Lepisosteus oculatus: one gene and its partner. Each later gene encodes a partner of the first gene's protein in a complex. Links are inferred from orthologs where the notes say so. Each region holds a gene or a part of one and is shown in the gene's direction. Other genes may lie near its edges.

The links. Proteins that work in one complex are often made in the same cells at the same time.
Region 2: the proteins of bmpr2b (region 1) and inhbb are in contact, whole or in part, in a crystal structure (PDB 7U5O), measured with the Homo sapiens proteins. The link is inferred for Lepisosteus oculatus from reciprocal best matches to the Homo sapiens genes BMPR2 and INHBB. Residues at the interface, in NP_001195.2 of Homo sapiens: Tyr40, Tyr67, Leu69, Val80, Lys81, Trp85, Ser86, His87, Ile88, Gly89, Asp90, Gln92, Ile108, Gln109, Tyr113, Phe115; in NP_002184.2 of Homo sapiens: Phe309, Asn318, Asp319, Ile322, Ala323, Pro324, Gly326, Tyr327, Tyr328, Thr379, Met380, Ser381, Met382, Leu383, Phe385, Asp386, Asn390, Ile391, Val392, Lys393, Asp395, Ile400.

The regions. Positions count from the first base shown.
Region 1 is NC_090707.1:34,056,041-34,059,792, forward strand, and holds the start of bmpr2b (bone morphogenetic protein receptor type-2), read left to right. Parts: upstream 1-1,096; 5' UTR 1,097-2,279; coding exon 2,280-2,442; intron 2,443-3,752. UniProt on the Homo sapiens protein: On ligand binding, forms a receptor complex consisting of two type II and two type I transmembrane serine/threonine kinases.
Region 2 is NC_090707.1:3,923,821-3,927,572, forward strand, and holds the start of inhbb (inhibin beta B chain), read left to right. Parts: upstream 1-973; 5' UTR 974-1,883; coding exon 1,884-2,271; intron 2,272-3,752. UniProt on the Homo sapiens protein: Inhibins and activins inhibit and activate, respectively, the secretion of follitropin by the pituitary gland.

The DNA.
Region 1 (3,752 bases):
GACAAGACAAACAAGGTTAAAATCCGGAATGGGATCCGGAACAGGGACAGGGAATAAAACCAGGGTAACGAGGCCAGGCGCGCCGAGCCCCAGACCCAGACGGTCAGGACGCTGTGGTGAAGCCTATGCCTTCGGGTCTCTCCTGGACCTGTTGGTAGGTGAGATCCCAGGCGTCCATCTCCCAGCGCTGAGCCAGGAATGGCGAGAGCACCAGGCTTAAATAATGAGAGACAAAACAGGTGCATATAATCAACCAAAATACGAAAAGGATCGGGGAGCCCTTGGAGTTAACTTTTTGTCCATTTGACATTCAAAGCAGAAATCTGCATCTCAGACACCTTGTGGGTTGCCTATGAAATATCTGGGGTTTCACTAATATGGGCCATTGCAGGCCTTAATTCACAGCTTTCACCATAAAAGAGTTTTCTTCTGATACAAGTTTTGAAAACCCTCAAAGGCACAGACAAAGTCCACTCAGAGCCTTTCTCCGGAAAGGAAAAATGAAACACAAACCAGACGGCGCAAGTGGAAACGATGTGAAAGTGCATTTAAAACCGAGAACACGTTTCACTTCTTCACCCACAGGGCTGTAGGGAGTGTGAAACAAGCTTCCCAGCCATATCTGCATGAATTTCTTGTATCATTTAACTATTACCTACCAAAATGCGCCAGATGTGCCTAAAGGCCTACTCCTGTTTGGAACATTTCTGATTTTCTTCTGAATATACAAGTCAAGAAGCCTGGACTTTTTAAATAAATTCAACTGCTCGAAAACATATAGCCTTGTTTTTTTTTAAATGAGAATAACCACTCACGGAATGTTTGTCTCCACATAAGAGATTTTAAAAATCAGGTTTTTATTTAACGTGCCAGACTGTTGAACGTTTTTACAAGTCGGGTGGCGTTTTGGATAACCTTCAGACGACGGCCGGGAGCACAGAGGTGGTTTGAGAAAACGTGCGCCTAAAGGCGGGCGAGCCCCACGCCAGCGCCACTCTTTCCGCGACCGGCTGTGCACCGCTAGCGGGAGCTCTACTCCTTTCCCACACTGCGCGGAAGTGAGACGGCTCGGCTTTAGCGTGTTTAGTGCTGCAAGCGCCGCAGACAATCCCGGGATGAGGCGTATCCCAGTCACAGACGCTCTGTCTCGCTGTCTGCTGCTCCATGGTCACTAGCGCTGACAGCCAGCCAGCCAGCCCTCCCTCCTTCTGAAACTGCAGACAAACCGAAACGGAGGCAGTCTGCTCCCCGTAACCAAAACAGTGCAGAACTAAGTGTTGGGGAGGACGTGCCTGTGTACATTTTTTTATTTGTGGTGTTGGGGTGGGAGGGGGGGGGAGGTTGTAATTTTTTTTTAACAAAAACTGGGCTTTGCGCAAGGATATTTTCCGATGGAGATTTATTGGAATGCATAGCCTTGTCTAAAGGTGGAGATCTGAAAGTGTTGGAGGAAGAAAAAAAAAAGGGGGGGGCCTCTCTTAATATCCTGAGCAAGGGGGGGATCCGCGAATCTCGGCTGGGATCGCTCCTGAAAACAAACACCGTGCCCTGCGTAGGAACAGCAAAACGGGAGGGGAAATAAAATGCTTACAGTTTGTCCTGTTGGCAGCGAAGTTAGCAGGCGCTTTTCACAAAGGGGCTTCATTTAAAGGGAAAAGAAAAAACGGAATTTGTGCACCGCGGACTTTAAAAGTCGGAGCTGCTTGGTGGGTTCTTGGAGGGGGGAAAAAAGGCCTTTTTTTGGAGGATTGCAGGCAATTTCTCGCCAAGGACTTATTTTTTTGATTTTTTTTCACAAGAAAAATGGAATCCTCGGATTTTCATATTAAGTTGGAGACGCGCTCGCCTGCACGTTAATTGTTTTTGCTGAAGGACATTTGCAATTCGGGAAGCTTTAGGGTAGCTAACGTTAGCTACCTAACCTTCGTATATCTGCAGAAACCCAATCAAAGGGAATAGAATAACCGTTCAGACCGATTCTGGTTGTCTTAAGGTTTTTATTTTGCAGCCGGGAGTGGAAATTAAAAGAACCGAGCCTCCCTATTTTTAAAACCGGAATCGCCCAGTTCATTTCACGAATGATGTAACTGGCGAGGGCTTTTTATAAAGAGGGGGAAAAAAAATCTAGCACGTTAAATGATTGAGATAAGTAGCTGGCTGTTCCAAGAAAATGTTAATTTTAACGCCGGCCAGCACGAAGACGAACTGAAAACAAAAACGACGAGGCACCGGTGGACAATGATGGGATTCTTCATTTGAATCGGGATTACAGTCAACGAATGTATCTGGATTGGTCATTTCTAGGAAGAGGAAAAAATTATAAAACTTTTTGGAGGTGTTTATTATCGCGGATACCGGGTTTGGTGCTCAGCATGGCCGCCTTCCACCGCCTGTCTATCCTGGTGTTGGGAGTCTACGCAGTCCTGCTCAGTACGGTAGCTGGTAAGTGCCTACATAACTGCGGGCTGAAATCAGACTTAATGGCCCTGTAAAAAAAATGATTTGGGCTTCCAATAAATAAACACTGTTCTCTTTCAGTTAAACGAAACGACACCGAAAATAACCCAGGCAGCGAATCTCAATATTTAACTTTTTTTTTTATACGGCCGAATATGTTTTCGACCGTGGTTGAACCGCCTTGTTGTAGCTTTTAACAGACAGGAAAGGTTACATTCACCCAAGAAAAATAAAACTGTTATTTAAGTAACTTCATGGGCACCTTGGTAGTCCTCCAGGTAACCAGTGTCTTCAGCAAGGTCCGGCAGCATTTTATTTTCATGAGTTGGACCACGGGTGGAATCGCTGAAAATCTTTCCAAGAACAAATGAGAAAACGCTTTGCAATCGAGTATAGCGATTATATAATTGTTACCAAGGGATAGAACAATTGAAAATACGGCAGGCGAATAATGTTACAACTCGAGATGCATATATGGCGTGTAATGTCTTAGGTGTAGCCTAAGTAATGTGCAGTATTGCATGTCTCGGTCTCTCATTTGTTACTCCATTAACAGTAACGTTCAAATGTGCATGTCACTATTTGAGTAGTCCAGGTTTTCAGATGTGACAACAGCGGTTTCAGTTATTTGGGTGACTTGAACTGAATGCTTTGATAACGTACAATTGCATCTGTAAGTACGGTAGTTAAGATCCTGGTGTCTGCTGTGTGCTTTCTGTGAAGGGTAGTGCACAGACCTCAACATCGTTTTATCTCGTTCATTCACTTGACATGGACGTGAGATGCACCTTTTTATGACAGAACAAGGGCTCTTTTTATGTCCTGCCTTCTTGCCATCTTGCCATTAGATCCAGTGTAGATTGAAATATAAAAATCTGGATTAAAAATAATTCCTATTTATAAAATACTTCCCCCTTTCCTCCTTCTAAAAGTGTCACATCACCAGAGTACAGAAAATGTCATTGGTCATTGCAGACAGTCCCGAATGAGTAATATGTTAATTTCTGCTTTGAGGTGTTTTTTAATTGATCTTTTTTGACGTACTTCCTTTCAGTTTAGAGGGAAAAAACCCAATCAGTAAAACCTGAGCAAGTGTTCTGCTTTCATTTGTCAACCATGTTGCTCTGATGCCTGGTTATCCTGAAAGGCATTTGAACTATAAGGCTTCAGTGATGTCTCCTCTGATAAGGCAGTCTTTTTAGATTCTTTTTTTTTAGTTTGTGTTCCATTTTGAAGTGGGAGAACATGCTTCTGAGAGACTCCCCAGTTGTCCATAGGTTGAGTCTTGTAGGGTT
Region 2 (3,752 bases), about 30 Mb from region 1:
GCGAAGTGGGCTGTTGGAACGCGGCGCTCAGCATCGTGGAGATACGTCACTGGCGACCCCCACTCAAAACTTTTATAGGCTACCTGAAAGCAACAAAGAATTGTTGCACATCCCGCTGATCGCTGCGAACCCCGTGTTTATGACACCTGAGATGTTTACTGTCACAGGAGACGGTTGGAGGAAAAAACAAATGCATCGCTACAAATGAAAGGGCACAGAGCTCGCCCGTCAAAAGACTTTCCATATGGGTCTCGGACTTACAAAAGACCTTTCTGGTGCCTAATTAAAACATTCTCTTTCAATACTAACAACAATAAAAAAAAACACGTTCGACGCGGAGTCTCTCTTTCTATAAACTGTAGTCTCATACTTGCAGCGGTTAAGCGCTGCTGAAGTTTTCCGAGGTAATTCTTTGAACCTATAATAATCAGTGATGAAACCCAAGTCCAAATCGCTCCCGCTGAAAATCGTGATCTGTTTAACCGCGGTTTGGAATAAAATACAGGCATCCTATTATTATAAATCATTTCCTTTTAAAATATTGTAATGAGTAGAAACGGAAACGAAATGTTTCGAGGAACGTGCAGATGTTGAAACTACAGATGAAAAGTGTTTTAAAAATATTTTGTGTAAGTAAAGTGACGGAACTCTTGCGATTAATCTTTTCTGTGATCGGACATAATAAATACCCCAGATTATCAAATAGCATACCGCGCTGATAGGTTAGACTTTGTGTGCGCAAACTCTCAAAACCAAAAAAGCTTATCAATAATCATTTTATTCACAAATTGGTTAGTTATGATACTTCCACGACTCCCCCCCGTAATGGAGCAGATGTAATGAACTTGACCATTATTTCCTTCATATTTGCACCGTGAGACCACTGTTTCAGAAGTCGCTTTACCTTAGCCTAGGGACATAATCCTTTTAAACAGCAGAGTCCAGTTGGTGGAACGCCCCACGTGGTTAGTCTCCTGTATAAAAAGTTTCAGTGTAAAGTGCCACAATGTCGTGATTGCAAGGGGGGGAAAACACGAACTGAAGATTGTATCTTCTTGCCAACGCGCTGAGATACACATCAGGACCCATTTGCAGATCGGAAATTAAAAATCACTTCTTTTTTTTTTCAAACAAAGGCGGCAAAGATCAGAGGTAGAAGTGGATGGAGATGGAAAAACTGGATTCGGCAGACAGCAGCGAAAAGGGAGATATGATTTAAATGAATTGGTCATTTCTTTCCTCTTCTACAGTGGAATTTCCTATGTGTAACTGTAGTTGTGGTTTTTTTTTTGCGTCTTCTGCGCAGTGAGTGCTTTGTCACGCTGCTTGAGAAATCTTTGTTTTTCCTTTTAAAATGTGTAGCTTCTAGTCATTTATTTTTTCCTGTTGCTCAAACCATGGCATGACACGTCAGGCATTCTCTGCTATAAAGGGTGCTGATTTGAAGACCTTCGGTCAAAATATACACACATATATGTATAGTGTACATGTGTATCGGTGGAAGTTTCACTTTGGGGCTGGTACGTTAAATTGTTCATTCAGTCAGGCAAAAACGGAGAACAGAGGACAAACACGTTGTATTAGTTTCCACCTGAATTTCGCATTCAAAATGACCAAAGAGTTGCAACCTTAGGGAGTTTACTAAGTGAATGTTCGGAACTATTAGCACATTGGGCACGTTCGTCAGCGCTCTGTGGACTAAGTGGATCTGATTACTATGTTCAACTGAATAACTTCATCATAGCTATTCTGAAAAAGTTATTTCGGATATGTTTTAGCGTAGTGTATCAGAACCTAACCTGAGAAGACGAACGTGTTGCTGCGTTTTGTGTTCACGTATTAGATTCTAGTGTCCTCGGGAATACCTTTTTTGTTTAAAAAAAATGAGAAGATACATCATCAAAGTGGCCTGTTTCGTGGCTTGCGTTTTTACAATCACATGCACACCGACCCCGGGGACTGAGACTCAGACTGCGTCCCAGGATACGTGCGCGTCTTGCGGTCTCGGGCAGCCGGAGGACGCGGGGCGGATGGACATAGATTTCGTGGAAGCTGTTAAGAGGCATATACTGAACAGGTTACAGATGAGGGAGAGACCCAACATCACCCACCCCATCCCGAAGGCGGCGATGGTCACAGCCTTACGGAAGCTTCACGCAGGAAAAGTGCGAGAAGACGGAAGAGTGGAAATACCGAACTTGGACGGCCACGCCACCTCCAGCAACGAGGTGCAGGAGCAAACTTCGGAGATCATCAGTTTCGCCGAATCAGGTGTGTAAAAACTATATTGCTATTACTGCTGCTAATACACTGCGGATACCGCTGTTTCGTCCCGCCTGTGCAGCGTAATTTCTCCACTAGTAGACTAAATTAAAATCGGCCCAGCAGTCCATCGAAAGAGTTCAGCGACTGGCTGCTCACTGTCCTGTCGCCTGACTGTCCCTGCAATTAGAAAGACAACCGAGAATAAACAGTTAAAAACAGAAGAGCCTCAACGTATATAGAAATATATAGGTACTAACTTTCAAGCACGTGTTTTCTTTCTAAACATTTCCAAATGATTGGTTCTGCAATCTTAAAGCAGCCTAAACAAAGAATTTGTCATAAAAACGCGTTGCTATAGGCTACCCTGAGCTCAGGTTTCAGACAGATAAAGCAATCTGAACAAGAACTACAAAGAACTATTATGTAAATTCCGAAGCACCGCTTGACTGTGAAACCTTTCCGTACAATAAGGTCCCTTTAATGAATGTCATCTTCGTCTGTGCCCCAGTGCTTAAGTCACGTAGATAACTGCTCTGAGAGGAGAAGGCAACACACAACACGACAGATAAACGAGGAACAGGGGCTTAACCTGACCATGTAGTCTAAACCACTACGTACATGAGCAAAGCAATAAAGTCTAAGTCGGAATAAATACGAATAATTGAGTGATGCTACGCAAAAACCTGTAGTTATTGTAAAAGGAACCGCGTTTCTATATGTGATAGGATTTAGAGTAGCCTAAATTAATGAATATGCGAGTGTCCAATGTGCGACCTCGACTCAGAGTACCTCGAATGACCTCGCACGGGAGAGAAGATGCTCTGAATCGCAATTGTGGAATGGAGCTGTGCTGCAACTTCAGTTCACCGTGTTGCTAGAAAAGCTCCCTTTAAAGCACGAGAGAGAGAGAGAAAATAAAACAACTGGTCGTTTATTTCACTCCCAAGAATGCTTACGCAGTTAATGCTAAATATTCTAAGGATTTCTTTCCCATCCAGAAATAGTATCCATCGCTATTTAGCGCCGATGGCTAACAAAGGGTTTGAATGGAACGCGTTAAACGGGTCTCAAGTTTATTTCTTGCAGAAAGCGAAAGAGATACGCGTCTTAACTTAACTTGAACTACAACCCCTTTCGGTGCGGAGTTAAAATCTGGTTCATTGTTTCCAAAATATAAGCTTTTTAAAAGTCTGTGTTGCTGTCGTGGAGCGGATGATTTAAGATGCTCACCGATCGCTAAATATATTTTTAAAGGTATCCACTGGCGCTTTGGACCTTAGTACAGTATTGTGTTGCGGTACTGGCTCTAGTCCTCGTGTCCCGGACTGTTTCCTGAGTTCTGGCCAAATGGGTAGAAGCCCAAGCGGGGTCGCTGCCAGCCGGGCATGGCCGAGCGACAAACTGAAAGTAACAGTTCGCTAGGAGGCTTCGTCAGGCGAACTTGAAATGGACAGTTTTTCCACCTCGGCACTCAACACTGTGCGATG